Caenorhabditis elegans: one gene and its partners. The protein of the gene in region 1 purifies or fractionates together with the protein of each later gene. This does not show direct contact. Each region holds a gene or a part of one and is shown in the gene's direction. Other genes may lie near its edges. The genes, in order: nhr-189, Y37F4.1, F52E4.5 and clec-80.

The links.
Region 2: the proteins of nhr-189 (region 1) and Y37F4.1 fractionate together in Caenorhabditis elegans (co-fractionation; one large-scale study listed by BioGRID). This does not show direct contact.
Region 3: the proteins of nhr-189 (region 1) and F52E4.5 fractionate together in Caenorhabditis elegans (co-fractionation; one large-scale study listed by BioGRID). This does not show direct contact.
Region 4: the proteins of nhr-189 (region 1) and clec-80 fractionate together in Caenorhabditis elegans (co-fractionation; one large-scale study listed by BioGRID). This does not show direct contact.

Annotation. Positions count from the first base shown.
Region 1 is NC_003283.11:3,857,905-3,862,003, reverse strand, and holds nhr-189 (Nuclear Hormone Receptor family), read left to right. Parts: upstream 1-1,760; 5' UTR 1,761-1,800; coding exon 1,801-1,905; intron 1,906-1,968; coding exon 1,969-2,065; intron 2,066-2,111; coding exon 2,112-2,476; intron 2,477-2,935; coding exon 2,936-3,057; intron 3,058-3,102; coding exon 3,103-3,227; intron 3,228-3,289; coding exon 3,290-3,543; 3' UTR 3,544-3,569; downstream 3,570-4,099. Other genes in the region: nhr-187 (Nuclear Hormone Receptor family), read left to right, coding at 1-92, 310-437, 493-617, 674-915.
Region 2 is NC_003279.8:10,856,433-10,861,319, forward strand, and holds Y37F4.1 (BAR domain-containing protein), read left to right. Parts: upstream 1-1,654; 5' UTR 1,655-2,213; intron 2,214-2,376; 5' UTR 2,377-2,559; intron 2,560-3,079; 5' UTR 3,080-3,115; coding exon 3,116-3,187; intron 3,188-3,248; coding exon 3,249-3,527; intron 3,528-3,814; coding exon 3,815-3,953; intron 3,954-4,000; coding exon 4,001-4,187; intron 4,188-4,228; coding exon 4,229-4,337; 3' UTR 4,338-4,366; downstream 4,367-4,887. Other genes in the region: Y37F4.2 (Sec-independent protein translocase protein TatA), read left to right, coding at 1,088-1,188; Y37F4.5 (START domain-containing protein), read right to left, coding at 4,827-4,887.
Region 3 is NC_003284.9:3,085,315-3,089,089, reverse strand, and holds F52E4.5 (Fucose-specific lectin), read left to right. Parts: upstream 1-1,744; 5' UTR 1,745-1,758; coding exon 1,759-1,861; intron 1,862-1,913; coding exon 1,914-2,014; intron 2,015-2,062; coding exon 2,063-2,215; intron 2,216-2,427; coding exon 2,428-2,622; intron 2,623-2,670; coding exon 2,671-3,108; 3' UTR 3,109-3,262; downstream 3,263-3,775. Other genes in the region: twk-16 (Potassium channel domain-containing protein), read right to left, coding at 3,754-3,775.
Region 4 is NC_003282.8:2,823,592-2,828,614, forward strand, and holds clec-80 (C-type lectin domain-containing protein), read left to right. Parts: upstream 1-1,772; 5' UTR 1,773-1,784; coding exon 1,785-1,885; intron 1,886-1,934; coding exon 1,935-2,056; intron 2,057-2,725; coding exon 2,726-2,980; intron 2,981-3,038; coding exon 3,039-3,118; intron 3,119-3,849; coding exon 3,850-4,043; intron 4,044-4,091; coding exon 4,092-4,169; intron 4,170-4,226; coding exon 4,227-4,425; 3' UTR 4,426-4,478; downstream 4,479-5,023.

The DNA of each region.
Region 1 (4,099 bases):
CAAGTTCGGATTGGTGCTTCTTTGGAGCATATACTGCTGTGAAGTTTTTGCTTGGACTCGGTTTTATGAAGAAGCTGAGCACTAGAGATAAGGTGATTTTTGATATTTTGGAATTACGGTATGAGTACTGAAGGGATACTGTGGACTAACTCGAGAGCATTGGGGCATTTCTTTGAAATTATTGTACGGAATATTAATATTTTAGAACTGCAGAAGTATTACTGTAGGATTACACGATTAGAGGTTTACTTTGGGAGCACTTTTCAAAAAAAAAAGCTGTAGAGACTTTTCAACTTACTATTTTTTCAGTCTCTTCTCCTCGCCAACTATTCTGCCAAGGCTACCCTGTTGTTCAGTGCAATTCGAACTATGCGAGCCAAAAACGATAAAATGATAAAGCCCGATGGAAAAGATTTTTTCGTGGAATTTTTGTCCCAGTGAGTTTTCACTTATTAATTTTAAAATTAAAAAAATTAAAATATCATTCTTCAGATGGTCCGACTTCTCACTCCACTACACAAACCGTATCAGAAGCCTGCTAGTTAACAGGCTTATCGAGCTGAACATCACTAATGAGGAGTTTATTTTGATTACAGTATTGTTCTTTTGTAATCCTGGTAATATTTAGTTCAAAAATCCGTTTTTTTTGTTGATAATTTCAAAAAATTTCCAGCTCTCGACGACCTCTCCGAAAGCGCAGTAGCCGTGCTCACAGAGCAACAAAAAGCCTATGGCTCCGCGCTCATGCAATATTGTAAGCTCTCCTATCAGCATAATGGATCGTCTCGTTTCACGGAACTTCTCTCACTGTGCACAGTTACCAACAAGTATTATGAAGACGTACAATATCTCTACTGGATTTTTCAATTTCATTTTCATGTCAAGTACAAAAATCTGGTTTCTGTTATAATTTAAATTTTTTTTACCGTTGAACTTTAATGTTTTTTCTGATCTCAAAATATTGCTTGTAATTTTTTCCACTCTTTCTCATAAAAATCATTATTAAATGTGAGTTTCTGAGCTTCAAACATAATTTCTAAAAAATTAATAAAATTTTTTTTGAACGTTGAAAAAATTGGTATTTAACAGATGGTTATTCAAAAATATTCTAGCAAAAACTGGCCTAATGATCCGAAAAATAGATCTGAATTTTTTTTCATTATTCTAGATGCACATAAACCTATTCCACCGTTGTATTTTTTGGAAAAAAAGTGAAATTTTTACCAAACTAGATCCAAAAATAAAAGATTCGGTTCTTTCTCATTATTTTTTTAATTTTCCAATGAAATTTTCCAAATAAGTTTCCAAAATGTTCACCTGCACTCAAAAATTTCATTTTTTATGTGCAAAAACAGCTTCTCTCAAATTAATTTGCCACCAATTTGCAACTTTTGAAAAAAAAATTTAAAATTAATTTAAAAATTAAAGAAATTCCAAAGTGTTACATATATAACACTTCTTTTAAATTAAATATCACTTACAAAAATTTTCAAACATTTGTCAATCCAAAATGTTACGGAAAAATGTGTGTATTTTGAGCCGGAGCTTATTGACACCCTCAAAATAGCCGTGACTAAAAATTATTATTTTCAGAAATCTATAAATCTATGTACGATCACTTTTTTCGTTGTTTGATCTTATGTCCTATCTATAAACATGTTCTTAGAACATTCTAGTTCAGCTGTCTCCCCACGACTCTTTAATTATATAAAAAGAGACCGAGGAAGTCAAAGCCTGTTAAAAAGAGCAAATCCTGCTTTATTCTTTTTTTCATTTTGCTCACTGATTTCCTTATTCAAAATGGAAGATATTGATGAGTTGCCAAGCTTGGCTATGGAATTGAGTACCAGTAATGCTCCGAAATGCACAATTTGTGGGAGAGATGCATCCTGTCATAACTATGGGGTAAATATGTTTTTACTATATTTGTTTTGTCTAAAAGCTTTTTAAACAACATATAAATTTCAGGTTCTCTCGTGCAATGCGTGCAAAATGTTCTTCCGCCGCGTTGTGATTGAGCAGTTAACCTACCACTGCAAGAAATGGAACATGTGCCTTGAAAATTGTAGCTATTTTTATTTGCACACAGTTTTCAATAAATTTATTTACAGCCGGTCAGCCAATTCTTCAATGCAAAGCGTGCCGCTTCGAAAAATGCTTGCAACTTGGGATGACGCTAGGTCAACTCGAGAAGATACAACTTCCTGACTTGATCCATCCCGATTTTAAATCGGATTCTCTAATTAAAAATGTTATGTTTTTAAACTCCACAAAACGCTTCAAATTGTGCAATTTCTACACTTCTGAGGATCCAACACTGGAAGATATGGTTCAAAGAACTAAGCGATCAAGGATGAAGCGAAAAACTGGAAAACAAGTGATATCAGTAGAGGAATGGAGTTTTCAAGCTATTTATATTGCCGTTGAAATGTTTTTGAGTTTGGATTTTATGAATTCTATTGAGAATGATGATAAGGTTGGTCTTTCTCGATTAGGTTTCTTACTGTAGGAGTACGGTAAATGCACCAGGGGTGAGCGGTACGGTAAATGCACCAGGGGTCAAAATTGTGCCTTTTTGAAATTGCTTTTCCGTTTTCTTTTGATATTTTCATAGAATTTGCTTGCTTTTCAAAATAGATGTAGGAACATTCATAGAATGCGTAAAACTTTGCCGATTGAATTTGAAATTCTGAACCTTCCAAAAAAAAGGTACAAAACCACAGTTTGCCAAAAATGTTCGCCAATGGCCGTTTTTTCGGCACATTCGAAAACTTGGCTTATTGCCGTTTTACCGATTTACCGGAAATTTTTAATCCCGGCAATTTGCCGATTTGCCTGAAATTTTCAATTCCGGCAATCTACTGGTTTGCCGATTTGCCGGAAATTTCAAAATTACATCGACAGTCATCTCAATAAAACGGAACGCAATTTATAGATTGTTCTACTTCGAAATTTCTCTTCAAAATCTATGCAACTTGATAGTGCGATGAGGTCTCTGAATGCCAAAGTTGATAGAGTGATAACGCCTGATGGTAATGAAGTTTACTCGGATTTGCTGTAAGTTGCAATTTTCTGGAATAAAAAACTATATTTTTTTCCCAGGTTGGCAATGTTCTCTATTGATTTTCTAAACAGCATACGGAGCAGTTTAGTGGTTCGCGTTGAAGAGCTCAAAGTTACCGAGCAGGAGCACGCTTTGCTAAATTTTTTGCTGTTTTGTAATCCAGGTAATTTAATTTTTCAATTTAACCCAATTCATAAGTTAATTTTTGAAAAAAGCAATTTTCAGCCATCCACCCGTTATCTGAAAGAACTCGAAGACTCCTAGCAACCCGCCAGAAGTCATATAGTTCTGCCCTTCTTCAATATTGCCTTTTAACCTACCAACAATCGGGTCCTTCTAGATTTGCGGACCTTCTGTCACTATCACATGTTATCAATAAGACATCGGAAGACGCTAACAGTCTCACAACACTTTGCCAGATGTACATGCCACAAGTTAAATTGAAAAAATTGTTGATTGATATTTGTATTAATGTATAAAGGTGTTTCTTAAGTTGTAAAATTTTTGTAAAAATCCGTTTTTTATAGTTTTTTTTTAATTAAAAAATATATAATTAAGTTTGAAAACTGCTGAAAATTGAAGCAATCTAAAATTTTGCCAAATGCCAAATTGCCGATAATTTCATAAATCATCAATTGCCGGCATTGATCATCACAACAGCAATACTGCAAATCTGCTCTATCGAACAAATGGGTATCAGAAGATTTAAAAAAAATTATATAATTTTAACAAACCTTGAAAATATTCAACCTTTTTTATATGCATGGTAAAACTGTGGCTAGCCTTTCACAAAATATTTTCCGCATATTTTTTGGTCATTTTCCAAAAGGAAAAATATTTTAAACCAAACTGCCAAAAGTGCTTGATATTAAAACCTCGGTCAGCTTTTAATATCAAGCTCCCAGCTTTCATAATTTGATCTTTTGCACTTACGTCATATTCCTTGAACATTATTGTGCAGCTGCTTTTCTCCTCATTTCCTAAATTATAAATGAGAGACCCAGAAAATGAGAGCTTGAGAAAATGAGCTTAATC
Region 2 (4,887 bases), on another chromosome or scaffold:
AAAAAAATTTTGAAAATCGAGTCATACATCACAGAGATAATCGACCGAATAGAAAAATAATGCCTTTTTTGATTTTTGATTTTTCAACTTTGAGCGTTTGTTAATTGGTTTGTTTAAGTTTAATTTTAATTCTGTTTTTTTTAATAGACTCAGAATTTGACGCTGAATTCAAATATGTAAGATTTTTTTCCAGCTTTAAAAATGAAAAAGTTATGAAAAAAAACTAACATTTCATCTCCTCATCAAAGTTTTCGAAATATCTTTTATGTTTTTACATTTTCTTTTTAAAATTGAAAAATCTTTTCAGCATATTTCTTTCATCTTAGAGAAACTGAAAATTCAGCGCCCAGGGCGCTAAATAATTATTCAAAATTTTTAAATTAGAAACAACTCCTTAGCATATTCCATCAATCTTAGAAATAGTTCAAATCAGCGACGAAGGCGCTGAATAAGTCTTCAAAGTTTTAAATTAGAAACAACTCCTTAGTATGTTTCTTTATTTCAGAAACTTTGAAAAATTCAGCGCCGAAGGCGCTGATAACTCTTAGGAATTTTTGAATTTAGAACAACTCCTTAGAATATTTTTCTAATCTTAGAGAAGATTCAACTTAGCGCCCAAATAATTTTTAAGAATATTTCAATGTGAAACAACTCCTTAGAATATTTCTTTAATCTTAGAGGAACTGAAAACTAAAGCGCCGGAGCCGCTAAATGATTTTTCAAAATATTAAATTAGAAACAAATCTTTGGAATATATTTTGAATTTCAAGGTGAACACACTTAACCCCAACACAGGTTTGAGGCAAAGCCGAGAACCTGCGCCAGCTACCTTGTTGATACTTTAGAGCGAAATAACCCTATCCCCACTCCCGAAGGGATAGCGCACTTTGTGCGCTAGTCTTAAAAATTTTTTTTTTAATTGAAGGTTTACAAACAAATTTGAACTTTTAAAAAGCTTTGCTATGTAGGAAAAAGGATACTCAATTCAAGAAATGGTATGTAGAAAAATCGATTTAAAAAAAGTTTTTTGATTTTTGATTTTTAATTTTAAAAGTTTAGTCCCAATAATTCAATAAAGTTTTTCCAGAAATAGAGCAAATTCGAAAAATAGCTGAGCTAATGGGCAATCCAACGGAACCGGACGAAGTTTCGGATGAAAAAGACGATAGTTCTGAATCAGACTACTAGTTGCTGAAAAAATAATTTATAAGTTTATTTTAGTCACATTGTTGATAGTTATAAATATTTTTTTGAAATAAAAAAAACCAAAAATGTGTTTTTTGCACTGAAAATGTTGCGTTGGCTCAGTTGCAGGGTAAACCCATCAATTCATAACTTCAGCAAGAAGTCCAAATTGTGTTAAGTTCGAGATCCCTTTAGAAAGCAATCTTGCACTTATTTTACTTTTTCTTAAATCTACAGTTCAAATTATTAAACAAAAATATCTGAAATCAAGAAAAGTTTATCTTCACGGATGCTGAAAGTTTATAGACTTGTGGAAGTGTTCTATGATCACTTCTCATGTTGCACTGAGTGGACTTTGGAGACGTGCATAAAGCGCATGACTCTAACGCCCACGCGGCCTCTGAGCAGGGAGCGTCACGCCCTCACGAGTATATAAGCCGACTAGAGAATAACATCCTCAGTCGAGAAAGACCTTGCCTGCTGGCGCCGGACGAAAGTAAGACTCTCGTCGTCTGGCACAGCAACGACTCAATAAATGCTTTAGCACACAATCAAAGTGTTTTTGCATGATGTTTAACCATAAGCTGTGGCACCGGTTTATGACCGTTAACAGACTCCTCCAGTATATAAGGTTGTCCAAACAACTTAATTTTTCATATTTTGTGCAACACTATCTTGCTGAAATGAAAGAAACCGGCCCGTGTTGTTACATTCTGCTCATTTTAATTTTTCCGCCAATCGCCGTCTACGTGAAAGAGGAAAGATGCTCTCTGTCAGTTTGGCTCAACCTTTGTTTCTGCATCCTCTGCTGGTTTCCGGGGGTGCTTCATGCTATAGTCGTCTGTTTCTGCTTGAATTATTTATTTTATTTACTTACTATCAAGAAATGAATTCTTGAGATTAATTTATTTAGAAGAATATAATACTGAATTACAATTAAAGAGAAGAAAAGGGGAAGATAGCGGTCTACATCTAGAAAGGAAGCATTGGTATTATATAATATAATATAAAAGAAGGAACTTATATAGGTCTGTTTTTAATCGAATTATAATGATATTGGGGTTGGCGTGAATCATATGAATAGGAAAAGAAGGGAAACGTTTTGGTTTGAATCATAAGGATCAAATATCATATTCAAAGAGGGAAAGATTTGACACTTACATACAATTAGATTAATTTTTCCATGTACAGATTATCTCAGACCACAGGATATGTAGTTGCTGACTAACATTTCACTGCTAATGTGTAAGCGGCCACTGATTGAATATTGTGGGAGAATTAAAATTTGGACTCTGAATGAAATTGCTTCATAATAAAGCAAAAAGTTATCCAAATTTCTATATTTATCATGTTTTTGGATACTGTAGTTAAAAGGTATAAACGCTTTATATTATATTTTAGTTTTCAAAATACATATATAGGGAAAGCCTCATGCAAATTTGTCTAGAAAAATGATTTGAAATTGTTCAAGAAGTATGAAAATGTTAAAAAGCGTACAGTTAAACAAATTTAAGATTTTGGAATTTGTCAATCAGTAGGTTTATATTAATCTTAAAAATGATAAAATCTGCAAACCCGGATTTTAAAATAATATAATAAAAAAATAATAAAAATTTTAAATAATATAATACATAAAACTATAGAACAATTTCCAGAGAACTGTTTAGATTTTTTGTTGAATAGAAAGTTTCCACAGAAAATTTCAAAAACCGCCTTTGGAGCAATTTAACTGGTAAAACACGGAGCTAATAGTAAGCAAAAATTTCAAATTTTTTCACAAAATTTCAATCACAAATATTTTCTAAAAAATGTTAAAAATAAAACAAAAAATTACTAATTTAAATTGCTTTGTTACGTGACACATTTTATGATGACAAACATACTTGTTTATCAGACATGAAATCTCAATCTCAGTTATTTTATATTTTTAATGGCAAACAAGAAGAGTACGAGTAGCTGCTATGAAAAGCCAATCGCTCAGAAATTATTTTATGGATTAGCTGTAAGTTTTTGGATGCCTCCGAAACCGAAATCCGAAACCGAAAAAAAAAGAGAGTTTTCAGGACCATCCAAATCACGGTGTATTTTCGTCGATTCTGAAGAAAAAGAATCGCTTGTTTTCGATGACTGATGACGTGAAGAAGCTTTGCAATCAAGTTGAAGCTTATAAAGAAGCCGCAGATCGACTTCATCAGGCACTGATTCAAATGTTCGTTGAGAATCAGGAACTTATGAAAGCTGATACGAATTATCAGTACGCTGGGCAGTATCTAAAGACGTATCAGGCGATAAATCAGAAAGGAAGAAAGTTGGGTACGAAGGTTGACCCCAAAGAAATGGATGTGAGTTTAGTTGCAGAATTGATCAGAAAAGTGACGCGACATTCAGTTTCTAGAGCGAATCCTGTTGAAAATCGAGGAAGTTGGAACGACTTTTTTGCACCTAAGAAATTTGGTATATTTTCTAGGCTTGGATTTTTAGGCTTAACAATTTAGGCTAAGGGCTTTTAAATGTTAAAATGTAGGCTTAGGCTTTTCAAATAAACCATTTAAGCCCAGGTAATCAGGCTTAGGCTCCCCAATTTTTTGGCTTATGGAATGGCACCTGATAATAAGGACACAAATTTCAGAGCTTAGAACCGGCTATCCAAACCTTGCTCAATCTGGATTCCATACAAGCAAAGCAAGTCCAAAGGCATCTGGAAAACTTGTCGGCGTTGACAAAATTCATTGGCGTCGACTATTGGGAGTACGCAAGGCTTCGAAAGAGTAAGAATAAAAGGGTCTATAATATGAATCTAAATAAAAAATTTCAGTTTATTGGCTCTCGCTGGAAACCTACGACGACGCAATCAGTCAGCAGAATAAGGAGCGAACGGAGCAAGCCGAACTCGCGGCGGGAAATGCTCAGACATGGAGGAATGAGTGCAGACAGAAGGTTATTGACTTTATCAATAAGTCGATTAATGAGCAGAAGGGGAAACACGCGGATGCAGTTTTGAAGTAAGTTTTGGAACTACTCCCCGAAAAAAAAAAATTTTAAGGTTTCGTGACGATTCAATTCTCTTCCACAAATCCATTGCTGAAGCTATCCCAATATTTGATGATAGAGCACTGCCAAAGAGTAAAGAAAAGCCATTGAAATCCAAATGAAACTTGTCCGAATAAAGAATTATGTGATTTTTATTGCTTGCAACTTCAAATGTGTTATATTTGATTTTAGTCATCAGTTTACAGCCACATCAGCCACAAGGCACCCCTGATTCCACCAAAAGGTGCGCGGCGATTGCCGACGGGTAATTCTACAATTTCAGGCAGAGATGTGTTTTCCCAATATTTTTCATTAAATTTTAGTGAAAAGATGTAGAAACTATGTGATCTCTCCCATAATAACGCAATTGCCGCGCAACCCGGATTCTATCCCTCTCCATCGCCTCAACATTCGCCCGCTATTTCACTTTTTTCGAATGGCATTTTGGAAACGTTTTTTGAATAGCTAAGGTTGCTATGGGGTGGCTCATCACGTCCCACACAACACCCCTAGCTTTAACAATAAATTTACGCTGAAAACAGAACAGAAATGAATCACATTTTATTCTCTCAAGTGCTATAGTCTACTTCAGTGCTTCAACCTTCTCGACATTATTTCTCCTTTTTTCCATCTTTCTTCTTATCCAATTTGTTTGACTTGCAAGCGACTGGT
Region 3 (3,775 bases), on another chromosome or scaffold:
TTTGAACTATGTTTATGTTTTGAAAAAAATCGGAGATTATAATAAAACCAACCAGAAAATTTTAGATTTTTTTAATGTTTTAGCAATCTGCCAAATAACAAAAAAGAGCTTTTGAGGAAACACAGAGCAATATTGCATGTTCTAACCCCTAAAATGTTTTACAACAAATAATTAAATCAAATTTAAAGTATAAAAATCGTAGAACTTTTTTTTTGGTCGACTTCCAAAGTTATGAGTGCAAAAACTGAGCGATTGCACGTGGTGTCAGGTTGTCCCATAACAGTTTGATCTACAAAAAATGCGGGAATTTTTTCCCCGAAAAATGTGACGTCAGCTCATTCTTAACCATGCGAGACCAGTTGAGAAGTCTGCGTCTAAATTCCCGCAGTTTTGGTAGATCACAACGAAATGGGACATTCTGACACCACGTGCGATTGTCACTTTTCGACAGTAAATGAAAACTTTAAAAAAATTTTGAAAACTTTTACTATGATATTCAAATATTTTGACACTATAGCGAAAAACCAACATAAGCCAAAGTTTTGTCTTTAGAACAAAACATTGAATTTAATTTCAGAGGAATTAGAAATTGGGATTCTCGTTCCAGATCCTTACTGCCTGGTTTCCAATTATGGTAATTGCGTATTTAGTCTAAATTGATTGAGCTTTAAAAAAACACTGTTTGACATAAATTTGTGTCTCAAAATCTATAAAACCTGCAATCTGTATATTCTTGAAAATGAATTTTTTTTTTCGAAAATTCAGAAGTCCGCAGCTTTGAAAATATCAGAGGATATCCATTTTGGTCACTGCCGAAATAAAGATTAGCTATGATTTAACAATGTGCTCGAATGTTTTATTTTCAGTACAATAACATAATTTATGCTGTATAACTGATGTTTTTTGGTAGCCTACAAGACATCAAACTGTTTAATTTTCAGATTTACCACTTTTAAAGTAGGTACTTCTACTTTTGATCAAAACTTCTTTGTATTTACAGTACACAGACAAAAGCAAATACCAAATTCCCCGTAAATGTTCGCAGCAAATACTACTGCTATTGACCAAATACGTCAAGTTCCATTTTGATTCACTTTCACCCTTCTTTGCAGTATTATGAATAAAGTTTTTTTTTGGACAATCGTGTTGTTGTTCACTGTGAGAATTACATAACAATATTTTCCGACAGTGTTCATTCTTTCCATGGAAATTTCATGAAGAATATTTGATTTCGCAATATTGTTTATTCTCCCAATTTTCCCACAATGAGTCACTGGCCACCTGGCAAACAACACGTATAAAACTGGACTTCCCCAATAGAAATACACCGCTCTCTAAGCCATTTTTGCCTCTCACCTTGCGCATTTATCGATTTTTGGATGTGTTTTCTTTTGAGTTGTTGAGAATATATTATTGAAACCTCACATAAAATATTATATGTCCAATTATGTTCTATAAATTTTTCATTTTATTCGGCAAAGAGTCGTTTCGTAATGTTTTGCGAATATGTTTTGCAACCAGTTTTCTAGAAATCTTCTAAGGACTTCTATGTCTAAATGTCTTTTTGAACCGTCAATTCTATAGAAGAACGAATTGAGTTCAACCTTTGGCCGTTTGCCCAGAACATCTTCCTTTTTCTCTTTTTACTTCCTGGTTTCCGACTTCACCTGCCGCGTTTATAAACTTTCTTCCGTTTTTGTTATATTCAGATGTTTGTACTAATTCTTTTTGATTTAAAATGTATGTTTTCAGTTGATCATGTCTGAGAAAATTGCTGAAGGTTTTGGAAACAACGGAGAGCTATGCGAATATCACTATTCGTTCGTTCAAGACGGAAAGTTGACTTTGGTGGGGCGCAAATGTGAGCATTTATATACATTTTTTTTCAAATTTAGAACAATTTTCTTGTTTAGACGTCGCTCAACCAAATCACAACTGGGGACATCGCGTGGCTTTTGCAGGAACTTACGTTCTGACTTTTGATAAGGAATCCAACAAATGGGAGAGACATGATGTGAGTTTGCCTTGTTTTCCTGGTCATTTCAGACCTAAACAATTTCAGTTCCCGGAGCTCGTAAGCGAAGAAAACTCGGAAGAAGTGTTGTTTGTTCGTGACAATCAGCTTTATCTTCTCGCTTTTGTCAATTTTGGAGCAATTGGATTCCAAAAGTTGTTCAGATGGGATAGTAATTCTTTCAATGAGGTTTTGTTAAATGTGAGTGATTCTGTGATTAGAATTTTGTTTCAAAATTAATTTAAAGTATTACTTCTGTAAGTTTTTTTTTTAGTTTAAAATTCGATATGGTACATATAAACCTAAAGTGTACGTATAGACCCATAGACTGTCAGCATATGAACAAGCTTTGGAAATTGACTTTTTTTCGAACCATCATCCTTTATTAGATATACACCACAATGTTTTTTCAGGCCCCAGAAACCAAAACCCTCACTGAGACTCAAAGATTTGAAGTTATCGCTGCTGCTGGAACTTCTTCAAATGGTGAAACTATTCTTCTTCTCAAAGACGACAATTGTCACATTCAAATCTATTCTCTCACTGTCAATGGAGCTTCTTCTACTGTCGAAAACATCTCGCAAATTCACTCTGATGACAACCATTTGGTAACGAAGATTGTTCAAGAATTTTATAATATTAAAAATTGTTTTCAGAGAGGATCTCCAGTAATTGCTGAGACTGTCAATGACAAAGTGCTCATTAGCTACGCTGTTCATGGATGTGGATTCAATTGGGAGAAAACTCGTTTCTTCGTTTTTGACTTGAAATCAAAAACAGCTCGTCATGTTGATATTGAAGGAGAGTACAGTTCTCTTCCCCAATACGGTTTCGTTGGTCCAAACTGCTCATTTGTTGACAAGAAGACCAATTCTTTCATTGTCGCTGGTGGCCGTGTTCAAAAAGGAATGACGGGAAGCGCTTTCTACGGAGCCGTTTGGGCTCTCAAAGGAAACATTTTTGACGATAAGTCTACTTTGGAGTGGGTCCAACTTCCTCAAACTGTCGAAGAGGGAGAGCATATTTTTGACGGTTCAACTCTTTACACTGTTAACAAAGCTGCAGTATCAAAAGTTCAACTTGATTCGATCTAAATTGTTTAATGTTTTAATGTATTTAAAATTATATTTTAACCTACTGTGATTTATGGGAATCTCTGAAATAATTTCTGCCAGTAATAAAATTGAAATAATTGGATTGGGAGTAAGTTTTATGTTTGACAATTGAATAAATATTCAGTACAGTTATTCTAATATTTATTTGGAATTGTAGTTTTGTCGGCTTTTACCTAAAATATCGATATTTAATACTGTATCATGCGCAGTAAACTTTATTCCATTTATTAGTTTGAGAAAGAATTCAAACTTGAATTGCCCCAAATATTCAAATATCCGAAGCTCTAAACTCCACGAGTTTATAGAATTACAAACATTTGGACAATTGGCGTTTTCGGCAGTCAGCAACTTTGATAATTGCTAAAATTACCACAGCAGTTAGGCAGTAGTTCAAAATATGCCCTCAAAAAAAAATTATAAATTCATAATTGGAACTCGAAATTTCTGAAATAAAACTTTTTCTGTTCTATTTGCAAAATTGTGTATCAACGGAATATATGTTCAACTAGTTTTTTCACATTGGTCTGAAAATCAAAATTTGTAAAAATGCAGTAATAATATGTATACATTATTTATTTAAACAAAATACAAAATCTGCGGCAATTTGTAAAACTCTTCGCAGGACTACGAATCTCTTCTGTGGCCC
Region 4 (5,023 bases), on another chromosome or scaffold:
TCAGTTGATTTTTACAAAACCATAAGTTCCATTACATTTCAAAGTACTGTTTGGCTCTCAATTTGCACGTAGCTAGTGCGATGAGGAATTTTCCTCTGACTGCCCTAACTAAACTCTATCGTGGTTTTTAACCCGCTTTTTCGAGCTTCTTATCAATTCCTCTTTCTTTTTTTCTTTTCTCGTAATATTACCATCCCTTCCAGCAATTTTGAAAATGAAACAATTTCTACTAATTTTACTATTTTTTACTTCTTTAGCTGCTGCCCAACAGTGTTGGGATAGTTCAGATAGACTGATCAACGGGAGGTTAGTATTTTAACGGAAAATTGTAAAATAAGCTGTTAAGTTCTATAATTGAGAAATAAATTGTTTAAATATATGCAATGCAAAAATTAACTTAAAATAAATGTTTCAAGCTCGAGATACGAAAATATTTTTTTTAATTCCAAAAAGTTGAAAATCTGATAACTATTGTGTTTTTTCAAGTGTACTTTGAGAGTAGTAGGCACAAAAATTGTGAGTAGGCGCGTAGGTAGGCAGGCAGGCCGTGCCTACTTGGATGGCACACCGTATGTTTCGTGTATTTTCAGATGCTATAAACTTGTCAACCAACAACTTTCCTACCAGGACGCCCGGTCCTGGTGTCGTTACCAGAATTCCGTGGTATCATATTTGGCAACTGTTTCGGATCAAATAACGGCGAGCTTTTTGGCATGTAAGGTTTTTGAGAGTTAATGAGTGGTTATAGGTAGGCATGAAGTAGGTGTCAAGGTAGGCGCGTGAGGTGGGTACAAAGGTATGCAGGCATGAGGTAGGTAGATGTGATGTAATCGGGTGCGGTGGGTTTGTAGGTATTTAGGCATGATGTAGGTTTGAAAATACACCATTAGGCTAAAAATAGACACGTAGTTTTGCTTACATGAGGTAGGCATAAAGTATCCAGGCATGATCTAGGCACAAAATAGGTACATAGGGGGGATGCAGGCCTGAGATAAATAGGCGTGATGTAGTCAAGTGCTGTTGGTTAGGAGGTATCCTGATGTTGTCACGAAAGTACACTAATAGGCACGTAGGTTTGCATACATAAGGTAGGCATAATATACATGAGCAGGCATGATGTAGGCATAAAGTAGGTACAAAGACAGACAAGCATATGGTAGGTAGGCATAAAGTAGGTATGTGAAATTGGTGTAGAGCTGACGCATAGGTAGACCTGAGTCATGAAGTAGGTACGTAGGTATGCAGATATAAAGTAGGTAGGCAGAATGTAGGCATGAGATAGGCATCAAGTAAACCGGTAGGTAGGCTCGTAGGTAAGGCCATAGGTAGACTACAAATCCAATTTTCAGCGTACGCCGTCACCGCATTTGGCTCAAACGAGGGAAGCTTCTGGATTGGTCTAAGCCGCTCAAGTTCCACATACAAATGGGATGACGGAACTCCCCTAGGCTGGACCAATTTCAATTATCAAAATTCTCAAGACTACGTGGCCGAAAGTGTGACGAATGCCAAATGGACCGCCTACAACAGTGAAACAGAACTGAAATTCGTGTGCTCCTACTATCCACTGATGCCAACCACTAACTTGGCGTCGTCTACAGATGCACCGCGTACTACAGAGGCATCTACTTATTGGACTTCCGAGACACTGACATCGTCGAGCACTTAAAGTCTACGGCCAACACCCATATTTTCCAAATTTCAAATTTTCTTATCAATGCTTCCTGTTACTTATCACCCAATATTATTACTTTTTCTGAAAAATTTTTCAGTTTTATTTTGTCATGAAAAATCTCATTTTACTTACCTTTTCCTCATTTTTCGCTATTTCTCATTGTCAGGCACAAAAGTGCAGTGATGATTCGGACAATTTAATTAACGGAAGGTAATCTAAATTTCAAAATTTTCAACAGAAAAAAAAAATCAATAATCAGATGCTACAAACTGGTGACTCAACAGCTCACCTACTCGGATGCTCGTGGCTTTTGCCACCAGGCGGACCCGGGGTACACTCTGGCTACGGTATTGGATAAGTCGACGGCTAATGTTTTGTCAGGTAGGGTAGAGAGGGTTTAGGGGCCTGCCTGCCTACCTACCTGCCTATTGCCTATGTGTCTTCATTTTGGCCCGATGCACGACTTCAACAAAAAAAAAAATTAGTTTTGTGTACAAATTTTGTAATTTTGAATTTCACGCCAAAATTTAATTTCAATTTTTTTAAACTTTAAACTTTGAACTAGGACTCCCAGCTGAGTAGGACGTGAAATGCGGGTGCAATGATGTACGAAAGGTAGTTATTTGGAGCGGCCGACATGTTCGGGGTTCCGCGCCGCACTATACATTCGACAACATGCGGCGTGGGATCATAGAAGCCCTTCTTTGTACCACAGTTTTTATTTTCCAGAAGTTTTCGAAATTTTACAATTCTAAAAAGTTTTAAAAACTTTCCAAATTCGCGTCAAGTGTTCACAAAATTCTATGAAAAATTTTGAATCTTGCGCCAGAATTCAGACAAATTTGAAATTTACCTTGTTTAAGCATGAAAAAGTTTATTGGTTTTTTCGAATCGCTTCAACATTAAAAAAACAATTTAAAAAAAAAACCAAAAATGCCTCTATTTTTTGGTTTTTTTAGTTGGAAAGCTACGCGAAAAAAAAATATTCAAAATTTTCGAACAAGTTTCCTTAAAATTCAAAAAAAAAACGTTAAACTCCAAAATTTCCAGTCCTCGCCCATTCCGTGTTCAACTCCAGCAACGGTGGGCAATTCTGGATTGGTTTGAGCAGAAATTCCACCGGGAGCCCATGGACATGGGATGACAAAAGTTCCTTCGGCTGGTCAAATTTCGGAACTCAACTAGGCCAAAACTATGTGGCACAGAGCAGTACGAACTCCAAATGGGGCACATTTGGTAGTACTGATAAGAATTATTTCGTTTGCAGTTATGACCCAGCTAGTGTGCCTACCACTGCGAAACCTTGTGGGTTTAATACTTGGAAACACTGTCAGAAAATATTTGAAATATTACCTACTTACAGTATCTTCTGTAACATGTCTAATTATGTATGACACACAGTCTCTCGGAATTGATCAAAATGCAATTAATTCTTATAAAGCGGTACGAAATCTTTTAGCGTTGTATTTAAACATTGGTGGTTCATATCTTAAGCGTATTTAAAATAGGGAACAAATATCAACCAACAAAAGTATTTGTTGTCGATTTTTCTATATTTTGATGATCAAAATATTTTGTAGCTTAAAAATAAGATATGATATGAGCTGTCAAAGTTGATAGGTTGATGCACCATGTGTAGAAACTAGTAACTAGGCTCTTCAATAACTTTTAACTAACATTCATAGCTATTCGTTTTGCTATGTCCTAATAGTAGAAACTTTGCTATAGCTCAAAAATAAACAACGATAGGCACCGGTGTGAAATCTAGTGTTTTCAATTTCGGGCCTTTTTTATCTCGATTCTTGTGAAATGTATCAAATAATTGTTACCAACCCAACAAATTATTGATCATTTGTTGTTATTTTTATTTTTAGAATTTGACATTTTTCGCTAGCATTAAAATTACACAAAACATGAGCCACAGAAGTTGAGCGGTCGATGCAGAATGTTAGAAGTCTAGTGTGCTCAGGCTCAAAGTCTGATGCCTCCAAATTTATTGAAAAAGTATCATCAACTGATAAAATATTTATGAGTTATTATTCTATCATTTAATAGTAAAATGCGATATTAGCTGTCAAAGTCGAAAGGTCGATGCACCAAGCTAAAAATCTAATGGGTTCAACTATGTAGTTACTAAAGTAAAACAATACATCAGAGATTTACTAACTTTTCAGTACTTCAACTTTGCCCATCTTGTCGCTAGCAAACTGAATGACAAGACAATGCTAACCGGCTACATTGACAATTACGGGTACTCTGCTGGGCTTAATGATCATCAAAACTACCCTACTGATGATTTTTTTGATTTAAGAGGAATTCCGTTCCCAATTGACGGCACTGACGATGATATCGATTTAGATCTGAAAGAGTTAGTGGGGATTATTGTCCTTAAAAGTAACAATCGTTTGAAATTCAGTGTCGACGGATCTCTAGCAGCCGCTTCTTGGACCCCACCAGTCACAGATCAAACATGCATGATATTTATATCAGCTGCGTGAGTTTTCGTGAAATTGGACTGACAACCAAATACTTATAAGCTCTCATTTTCCAGCCCAGAAGCCGAATACGGTGGTACCACAATCAAATCCACCTACTCCTCCTTTGGTACAGTAGTCGGAGTACTGGTTGGTGGAGCCACTTCAATTCCTGGGCTCTCAATTGACACAAATGTGATTGCTGCTCCAGCGTTGTCGGATTCGGACGCCGATGCTGTTGTGAGCAAGCTCCTGGAGCTGTTACCTACAGCTTAACTATTTTTTCCAAATTTACTTGGTGTACCGAGAAAATAAAGATCCTTCTGTCCAATTGAACATGTGCCAAATTGCGTATATTAATATATCAAAAGATATCAATCACAGTTGTGTTCTAATACACAGAAATAACTTGAAATTTGAAATATTCCCGATAAAACAAATTAATAAAAAAGGCCACATTTTTTGGTAAAAAAATCAATTTGAAGTTTAAAAAAAAAAAATCTTCGTAAAAATATGTCATTACCAGAAAACTTGCCATTTTAGATACCAATTGCAATTTTGTTCTAATACACAGAAATAACTTGAAATTTGAAATATTCCTGTTTTTTTCAATATGCAACTAATCATTAAAAATTTTGAAATTATTTTTGGTTGCTCATATTTGTGCAGACAAAAAGTGTCCTAGCAATAAAAATTGCAAATTTTTTGTATTTTCAGATGAGTGTACAACCGTTTCTGTAGCTACGATATTCATTTCAAAAAACCCGAAAGTTGTAAAATAATGAGTAAAGTAAAATAATTGGTGAAGCCAGAGAGTAAAATAATTGGTGAAGCCAGAGAGTAAAATAATTGGTGAAGCCAGAGAGTAAAATAA